2 linked regions of the Nothobranchius furzeri genome follow. The protein of the gene in region 1 binds, or shares a complex with, the protein of each later gene. Links are inferred from orthologs where the notes say so. Each region holds a gene or a part of one and is shown in the gene's direction. Other genes may lie near its edges.

What was found.
Region 2: strip1 (region 1) and strn4 share a complex: the UniProt entries of both Homo sapiens proteins name them as parts of the core of STRIPAK complex. The link is inferred for Nothobranchius furzeri from reciprocal best matches to the Homo sapiens genes STRIP1 and STRN4.

The regions. Positions count from the first base shown.
Region 1 is NC_091743.1:46,737,954-46,742,487, forward strand, and holds the start of strip1 (striatin-interacting protein 1 homolog), read left to right. Parts: upstream 1-1,444; 5' UTR 1,445-1,644; coding exon 1,645-1,881; intron 1,882-3,295; coding exon 3,296-3,365; intron 3,366-3,469; coding exon 3,470-3,544; intron 3,545-3,621; coding exon 3,622-3,756; intron 3,757-3,851; coding exon 3,852-3,972; intron 3,973-4,093; coding exon 4,094-4,269; intron 4,270-4,345; coding exon 4,346-4,473; intron 4,474-4,534. UniProt on the Homo sapiens protein: Plays a role in the regulation of cell morphology and cytoskeletal organization. Required in the cortical actin filament dynamics and cell shape. Part of the striatin-interacting phosphatase and kinase (STRIPAK) complexes.
Region 2 is NC_091753.1:40,954,532-40,958,351, reverse strand, and holds part of strn4 (striatin-4), read left to right. Parts: intron 1-1,584; coding exon 1,585-1,688; intron 1,689-1,878; coding exon 1,879-1,955; intron 1,956-2,053; coding exon 2,054-2,132; intron 2,133-2,214; coding exon 2,215-2,400; intron 2,401-3,820. UniProt on the Homo sapiens protein: Calmodulin-binding scaffolding protein which is the center of the striatin-interacting phosphatase and kinase (STRIPAK) complexes.

The DNA.
Region 1 (4,534 bases):
TACTTGACACTTCTTATAACTCGGAGGAAAGAGAGAGAGTCAGGTTTAAAATGGTTAAGAAATTTATTTCTACACGATTTAAACAAGACTAACTTTAACACTCTGTGTACTGATGGACTAAGGTGGAGTGAAACGTGCGATGATGGTGTGTGTGTGGAATGTTATCAGAACCAGCGTATCCGGAGAAGCAGTTTTGAGTGGGAGTGAATGTTTCGCTCTAAACTTCAGTAGATTTGTAACACACATGAAATGCCATCTGTCGGTCTACATACCCAGGGGAAGCCTCCGTTAGATCCAGAATGCTGAGGTCCTCTTGGACCCTTCTTGGTACCGAAGCCGGTAGAAAAGCAGCGTTGCCGACCAAACTAGTCTCGGAATGCTTCCAGGTCACGACAGGTTATCACTGGCGTCAGCGAGACCCTGAAGGGGTCGTGAGGTTCAGCTTTTATTCTGAAGGAACCGTTGCAGACAGGTGTAACTTATAATAGATTTTATCCAGCTTGTCGAGGTTCTTTATGGCTGAAGGGGAAGTCCGGATGGCCTGTCCGAGACTTCTCTAGAACGCTTTAAACCAAACAAAAGGTGGCGTGGGATAGTTTTTATAATTGTCATATTTTGGTTTACTGGCGAATCAGAATTTGACATGCAAAAGAGGGTTTAAACAAACACCACAGAAAACAATGCCTCGCGTCAGAAACGAAGGTTCTGATTGGATCAGACAAAAGGAAATGTGTCATGTGGCTTTAGCGTTACATGTCATTAGTGTCTAGTGGAAATGCCCAAGATTATAATTACTTGTAAAATACTACTGATCACAGGATTATAATATCAAGTAATAACATTGTCATTTCACAGATTGATTGAACATTGGGCTCACATTATTATTGGTAATAACTAAGTTGGTTGATTATGTGTTTATCAAGAGTTCTTCGTCTTCGTCTTGAGCTGTAACAGAGGTGAAGCAGTTCAATGAGCAGAGTGCATGAAATACCTTGGCCACTATCTCATGTAGATTAGCCTGTGTCAGAGACAAGTCTCTGCTCGAGCAGACGCAGCAGATCATGACCTTTTGGTCAAAAACAGGACATTCATGACACTACAACTGCAATGACTTTGGGACAATAGAATCGTTTCTCATTGGGATTTTACCAACAGACCATTGCAACATCTGAGACTGGATAATGTAAAGTAATACTTTAGTGTTCTTGTGATGGACTGGAGACCAGCAGGCTGCCCACCTCGCACAGTCTGCTGAAGGTGGACACCAGCTCCCAATGGAGTACAGGAGGAATTGGTTACACCATATGAACAATGAATATTTGCTGTAGTGTTGTCCATCACCATTTCTACTTATTGAACAACTAAAAAATTTTCAATGTTTGTTTTTCTGTCCAAATTTTCCTTCAATAAACACATGAAATTGCAAAACAGAGCTGTTGTCCTTGTGCGCATTTACATGATAGATGTACAGTGGGGGCATTGAAAGAAAATATAGAGTTTTTTGTTGAGTAAATATAAAGGTATCTGATGTTTGTATGAATTTGACCGCCGATCGTCAAAACCTTAAAAATTATAAACAATAAAATCTGATCTTAAAGCAAGGGTGGGATTGATCTTATAAAAATAATATAAAGTTGAACATGAATGACAGATTTAATACAAATTCGTCAAAAAGATGCAACAGAAGAACCGAGAGGAAGGTCCACGTACGCGTCAGAAACAAACTCTCGCTCAATTTTCATCTCGCGAGAGTTCGTCCAATTGCTAATGATGGATGTCGGTGGGAATGGTGGTGGTCCACCTGTAAACAATAAACAAAGAGCTATGCTGCCCAATAAAGGCAGGGGAGAATTTCCTCGGAATTCAAGAAAAGACTCAGAGGTGCGTTAACAGAAAAGTTAATTTTTATTTCGCCAGGGGGTTCTGTAATCAAGACGAGGCCTCGTTTCTGCTATTGTAACGTTAGCTTTGTGAGTGTCTCTTAACTAGCATGTCTTTAACAACTCGGCTGCTGCTATCTGCAGTAACTGACTCAAAATGTTTTAAATGTGTGTGTATATCTTTGTGATCTTTTTGTCCTCTGAAATGTTGCTGTTGGTTTAGCTCTAGCTTCGCTTAGAGTAGCTAGCTGATGCTAGCTAACAGGACTGCCTGTCAGAATTCTGTCTACCTGTTGAAAAAATGTGAGTCGGGTCCACTCGTGCTTTATGATCCATTTAGTTGCAGCAACAGTGCTTTAAAAACAGTTACGTGAATAAGCTAACATAGGGTTCTTCCTAGTCACAGTGCGTGTCTGCATCATGATGCATAGCAGCAATTTCCAGAATCTGCTCCAGGAGTTGATTTGACCCAATAAACAAACTGAATCAAGTACAACTAGAAATTAAAAAATACTTGATTTGTCTCTATTTTGGTGCTAGAATTGGTCTTTTAATACTGCAGTTTGTCCAAATGAAACCAAATTTACTCACCATGGTTGTAGTGGATATGCAGGAGCTCCACCATCAGTATTAGAAAGAAAACGATATTTTATATAGCGCCTCTCAAGATAAAAATCACGAGGCACTTCACAAAAACAAAAAGTACGGAAAGAGAGAGAGAAAATTAATAGGAAAGACCAGAGAGCATGCAGGGGTGGGCAGTCCTGGACCTCGAGGGCCGCTCTTTAGCATGTTTTAGTTGTTTCCCTGCATTAATACATTTCATTTTAATCAGCAGGTGATTAAAAGACCTCTACATAAGCTTGATGACCTGCTGAACAGGTTATTCAACCATTGAATTAAGTGTGTTGGAACAGGGAAATGACTAAAACATGCTGGGTAGTGCCCTCAGAGGACCAGAGTTGTCCACTGATCCACTTGGTTTGATGCTTGTACGTAAACACTAAATCATATTTGTTGTGGTTGTTGTGACTCATCCTTCAATTAACAATGGGATTGGGTTCTGGTTAGTTTGGAGATCAGATGTCAGCCTCTTTTCTCATTTTTATGTGTTTTTGTGTAGCAGGTGTTATCACTCGGGGCTGGACACATCTTGTGTGCAGTGTTGTGTTGCTGCAGTATGGAGCTAGGATTGTGTGCAGTGTGTTTGGTGTCAAAAATCCCTTTTATCTAACTCTGACATCCTTATGTTTCACAATAAATCATACTTTAGTCAGGGTTACTACAACACTTAATTTACATCTGGGATATATAAAATGATTTCTTAATTAAAATTCTAATTAGTGATACTTCTTCAAAACTGTAGGCAAGAAATTACTATTATTTTTGTCTGATATCTGATCTCATGTGTGCAGGGAATGTCTGAGTTGCCGGATCTCGAGTTTGAATATTCTGACACAGACAAGTGGGCTGCAGAGCTGTCAGGTTTGGATGCATATGCTTCTCAGAATCAGAAATCTAGATTCAGAATAAGTTTGACTTGTTCTTAACTAGACCATTAATTAAATTTTATTTTGTACCATTTTCAGAACTTTACAGTTACACTGAAGGACCAGAATTTGTTCTTAACAGGAAGTGCTTTGAGGAAGAATTCAGAGCTCATGGTAGGTGGCCCTAATTACCGATAAGATGCTTATAAAATATAAAATGTTTATTTAGCTGTTTCCTTGCTGTGCTTCAGTGTTTGATAAGAAGTGGACGGAGCTGGATGCAGCTCAGCACAGGGCTCATGCCTTGCGTCTCCTGGACAGTCTGGAGGTCATCACTCGTGAGAAGAGACTGAAGGTTGCTAGAGCTATTCTGTACATGGCTCAGGGTCAGTGTTCCCTCACTTTGAATAAAATCAACTTAATTACAAGGTAAAGATCTGCTTTATGTTTCTAACCTTTGATAAATCTCTGTTTTATGCAGGAACCTTTGGAGAATGCAGCTCTGAGGTTGAGGTGCAGCACTGGATGAGATATAACATATTTCTGCTACTTGATGTTGGGACCTTCTCTGCTCTGGTGGAACTACTTAACATGGAGATCGAGTATGTTTTATGTTCAGTTCATGAATGGTTGTTGCACATTAATTGCTGTAAAAGTTGTTGTTTCGCAGAGTTTTCAGTCTATGTATTTTCTGTTATATCACTGATGCACTCTACTCCTCAGTAACAGTGCCGCCTGTAGTAGTGCAGTCAGAAAACCGGCCATCTCCCTCGCCGACAGCACCGATCTCCGGGTGCTGCTTAACATCATGTACCTGATGGTGGAGACGATTCAACAGAACGACCCGGCCGACAAGCCTGAGTGGAAAATCATCAGGGAAACCTTCAGAGCAGAGCTGGGTAGATATGGACCTACAGTCGTGTTGAAGTTCAGTTCAGATGTAGAAGCTAAGTCTTTGCTGCTGCTTCAATGCAGGATCTCCTCTGTTCAACAACGAGCCCATTTCTGTCATGCTCTTTGGGATGGTTACCAAGTTCTGCAGCGGCCATGCTCCTCACTTCCCTATGAAGAAGGTCCTTCTGCTGCTGTGGAAGAGCATCTTGGTAAGAAAGGAACATAAGGACACTTAAGTTCACCCTCAGAATTAAGTGCATTTTCTGTGCA
Region 2 (3,820 bases), on another chromosome or scaffold:
TTTTGTTCCAGCAGATATTATTTGATGAGATCCGTGGCCCAGATTAATGCAGGGGAACGTTGCTAATGAGCCATAAAACAAAAATTCTAGTCAACCATATTTTTATCCTTTTTAGCTACTGTTTTTATCTCTATTTAACAATTAAAGTATCTCTCCGGTAGTGTTTCTCTTATCTGATGGCACCATCTGGTGGCTGACAAGCATATCACACAAATAGTCACTCGATCCATTTTTTTAAGATGGCGACTTCATGTTTCTTGTTTCTGAATGTGCTTCTGTAGCCGACAAACAGAGCTAAAACACGCATTACAAGTATTATACTCATATCGTGTTGTGCTTTCATATATCTTAAACACTTGTTGGTGAAAAGTTCATCAACTCTGCATCAGCCGAGGTACTTCCTTAAATTTGAAGCACGTAAGCAGTACGCTATTGGTTAGTTCTGGTCGGCGCTCAGGTTCCTATTTCACGGAGCTCTGCGGGGCAGAGGGCGTTCTTATCAACAAAGACGTATTGCTTACATTACATCACAGTACATGATAAGACGATCACTTACGGATTTCTGAAAAATCATATATAACTTCTGAAAAGGGAAAACTCCGGAACCTTAAGTGTAAAAGTCACATTTAAATTTATGTTTATTTTGAGGAATCATCTCAGAACCAGGTCGACCGATACGGTTTCTCTATTGCTGATACCAATGCCGATATGTTGGAGGCATGGTCAGCCGATGTGCTTTTTGAACTCTGAATTTAACCAGCTGTTAAATCTTAACGTTGTGCACAGCTCATTGTTAATAATGGTAATTTAGAGTATTCATCATGCACATGTTACTAGTGAGCATAAAAATACATTTAAATTAAATGCTGCAACAGCACTGGGTTGTCCAAAGATGTGCCTGACTTTAAATCAGCTTTACTAAGGACAAATATCAGCTGTTGTATTAAAATCAGTAAATATCAGACCGATATATCGACTGGTCGATATATTGGTCTGCCCATAATGGCTACCCAATCCATTCATTTTCATTTGAATCAGGCCTTTTGAAGCAGAGGAACACTTGAATGTACCAAGGTCATTATCAAAATATAAAACATCCAAATTATATTAAATATAGTCAAGAAATCCTGTCCAGACTTGAGTCCAAAAAGGAAATTGTGGAGTAATTTAAAGGTTGCAGAGATGAGTGGGACGCTTTCCAAACTTGAATCCCCACTGATCAGATTCCAAAAAAAGAACATTCCCAGTGGAAATCTGTGAAGCTAGACGTTTTAATAAGCTGTTTGACCTTTGTAACGGCAAATGAAGAACTAATATTTTTATCATGGCATTTGTAGAGAAGTAAATCAGAAATACCTACATAGTCTTTACGGTCACTCTTCACTTCTTTGTGGCGTTTGCAACAAAAGGGATAAAAAATGAAAATGTTGTCTAAAGTATTGGGTTTTAGTTGGCCTATATGAGCCCATGTGGTAGGATCTGCACAATTTCCTTTTTAAAATAAGGATTAAGTGTATTCATAACCGTGTGTGTGTGTGTGTGTGTGTGTGTGTGTGTGTGTGTGTGTGTGTGCGTTACATACAGGCTCAGGTGGCATTCCTACAGAGTGAACGGAAAGGGCAGGAGAACATGAAACAGGACCTGGTGAGGCGGATCAAAATGCTGGAGTATGCCCTCAAACAGGAAAGGTTTGTTCTCATCACATTATTCCTGCAGCCTCTGATAAAATAGGACATGTATAGGACAAAGCTGATGTCGGCTGTTTTGGCCCCATCTAACAGTTGTGTACATTCTCCAGGTGCTGTGTTTAGTAAATAAAGCCTTGGATTGGCTTGTTGTCGGGTAATTTTCCCGATGGGATTTGTTTTGTGTCTCCAGGGCAAAGCACCAGAAACTGAAGACAGGAAATGACCAGAGTCCTGGAGAAAAGAAGCCAGAGATGGAGGCAGAGCAGCGTATGTTTTTCACTTGTTCTTGTCTACGAATGCTGCATCTTTTAGAGCCGAACGTGTTTTTTTTCCTACTCATGGCTTGTTGAACGTGTTTTCTGTAGTTCTCAATGGACCAGCTGAGACAGACTCTGAGCCAGCCAATCAGATGTCCTGGAAGGAGGGACGTCAGTTACTACGCAAGTGAGTTTGCCTGATAATTTCAAATCCACTGATGCTATATTATGCTTGTGTTTTATTATTGATTTTCCGTCTGTGGTTGCAGATATCTGGAGGAGGTCGGCTACTCAGATACCATCTTGGACATGCGCTCCAAACGTGTGCGCTCCCTGCTGGGTCGGAGCAGCCCGGAGACGAACGGGCCTCCGCCCGGCGACAGCTGTCAGGAGCCAGAGCCACGAGCAGCTGGAGAGTCCTTGCTGGTCCGGCAAATAGAGGAGCAAATCAAAAGGTGAGGCGTAAATACAGACGCTATCTTTGACGTTACGCCTCACGTACATGCTGCAGTGACGGCACAAACAGCTTCCACATTTTGCTGCACAAAACTCAAATTATTTGGGGGAAAAACAATCGGAAGAAAGGAGAGGAGGGCTAATTTTTCAAAACACTTAACCAGTCCAACCCAGTTCAAGTGGAGGGATGGAACTGGCTGCCAATAAACCTGAGTCACCTATTTACTGATGGTGTCAGGGCTAATAACAGTTACAGGATGAATCTGACAAGTCTAGTTTCTCCTCTAATGCTGCTGGGCGTAGTTCACAGTAAAAATAACAACAAAACAGGCTTCAGTAGACGGAGGCAAGGTTTTTAACTCAAAACTGAGATCAGAAAAAGTAAAAAAAAAATCCAGAGGTTTATAAAAACTAGAGAAACATTAAATGTAATCAGATTCATAGATTTGAGACATTGGACAAAGAAGTGGTTTTAGTATGTCAAAAATAGTGACAATACTTAAAAATTATTTTACAGCGGTGGATTACTCGTTTAAATAATACATTCGCAGTGGTCTCTGCTAGGAGCGAATGGCTTGTAAGTCATACTTTGAAGAAACAATTATACTGGTGCACCATTTCTAGGACCTCAGTTACCCACAGCTGAGCTTCAGACGGCAGGATTTGGAGTCTTATTTCCTGATATTTGGACATCTCGCCCTGGATTGGATAACAGCAACTCTACCACTGACTGTTTGCCCTCCAATGTTGATCTCTACAAATAATACAAGCCTGGAGAAGTTCTGCTGTGTGTTTGAGATGCTAATGCTAATGGTTAGCGTCTGCTAGTTGAGATGTCCTCTGCTGTTTCCTGGCTGTTAAACCAACAGCCTCCCCCGTCATGAGTCAAGATGGGTGAGTCCATGATTGTTAAGTGACCGTGTGATGTAGATCTGTCAGGTTTTTCTAATCCTAGAGTTTCACCGTCTATTTTCTATCGGAAGCTAATGCAGGAGACAGGAGTAGGAGACTATTTTCATGTTCAGCCTGCATGGAAAGCTCACAGTGACCAATTATATTCAGAAATATGTTCAAGTGTTTTCTAAATTCATTAATCAAAGTTTACAATTATAAAACATAAATTTATTTTAAAGAGCAAGTTCCCTGAGAAACCGATTTTTTATTTGTCGTTTTTTAAATATGATCAGTAACTCTCAGTTTAACGTACAGGAACTAAATTAGATGCTGAAAGAAAATAGACGTGGAAACATTGGGATTAGTAACGCCTGATAGATCTAAGTCACATTTAAAATTAGCGTTCGTGAACTCACCCATCTTGGCTTGTGGCAGGGAATGCTGTTGTTGGTCTAGTGCCCAGAAGAGAGTAGAAGCTAACCTTTACCATTAGCAACTCCATCACGCAGCACAACTCCTCCAGGC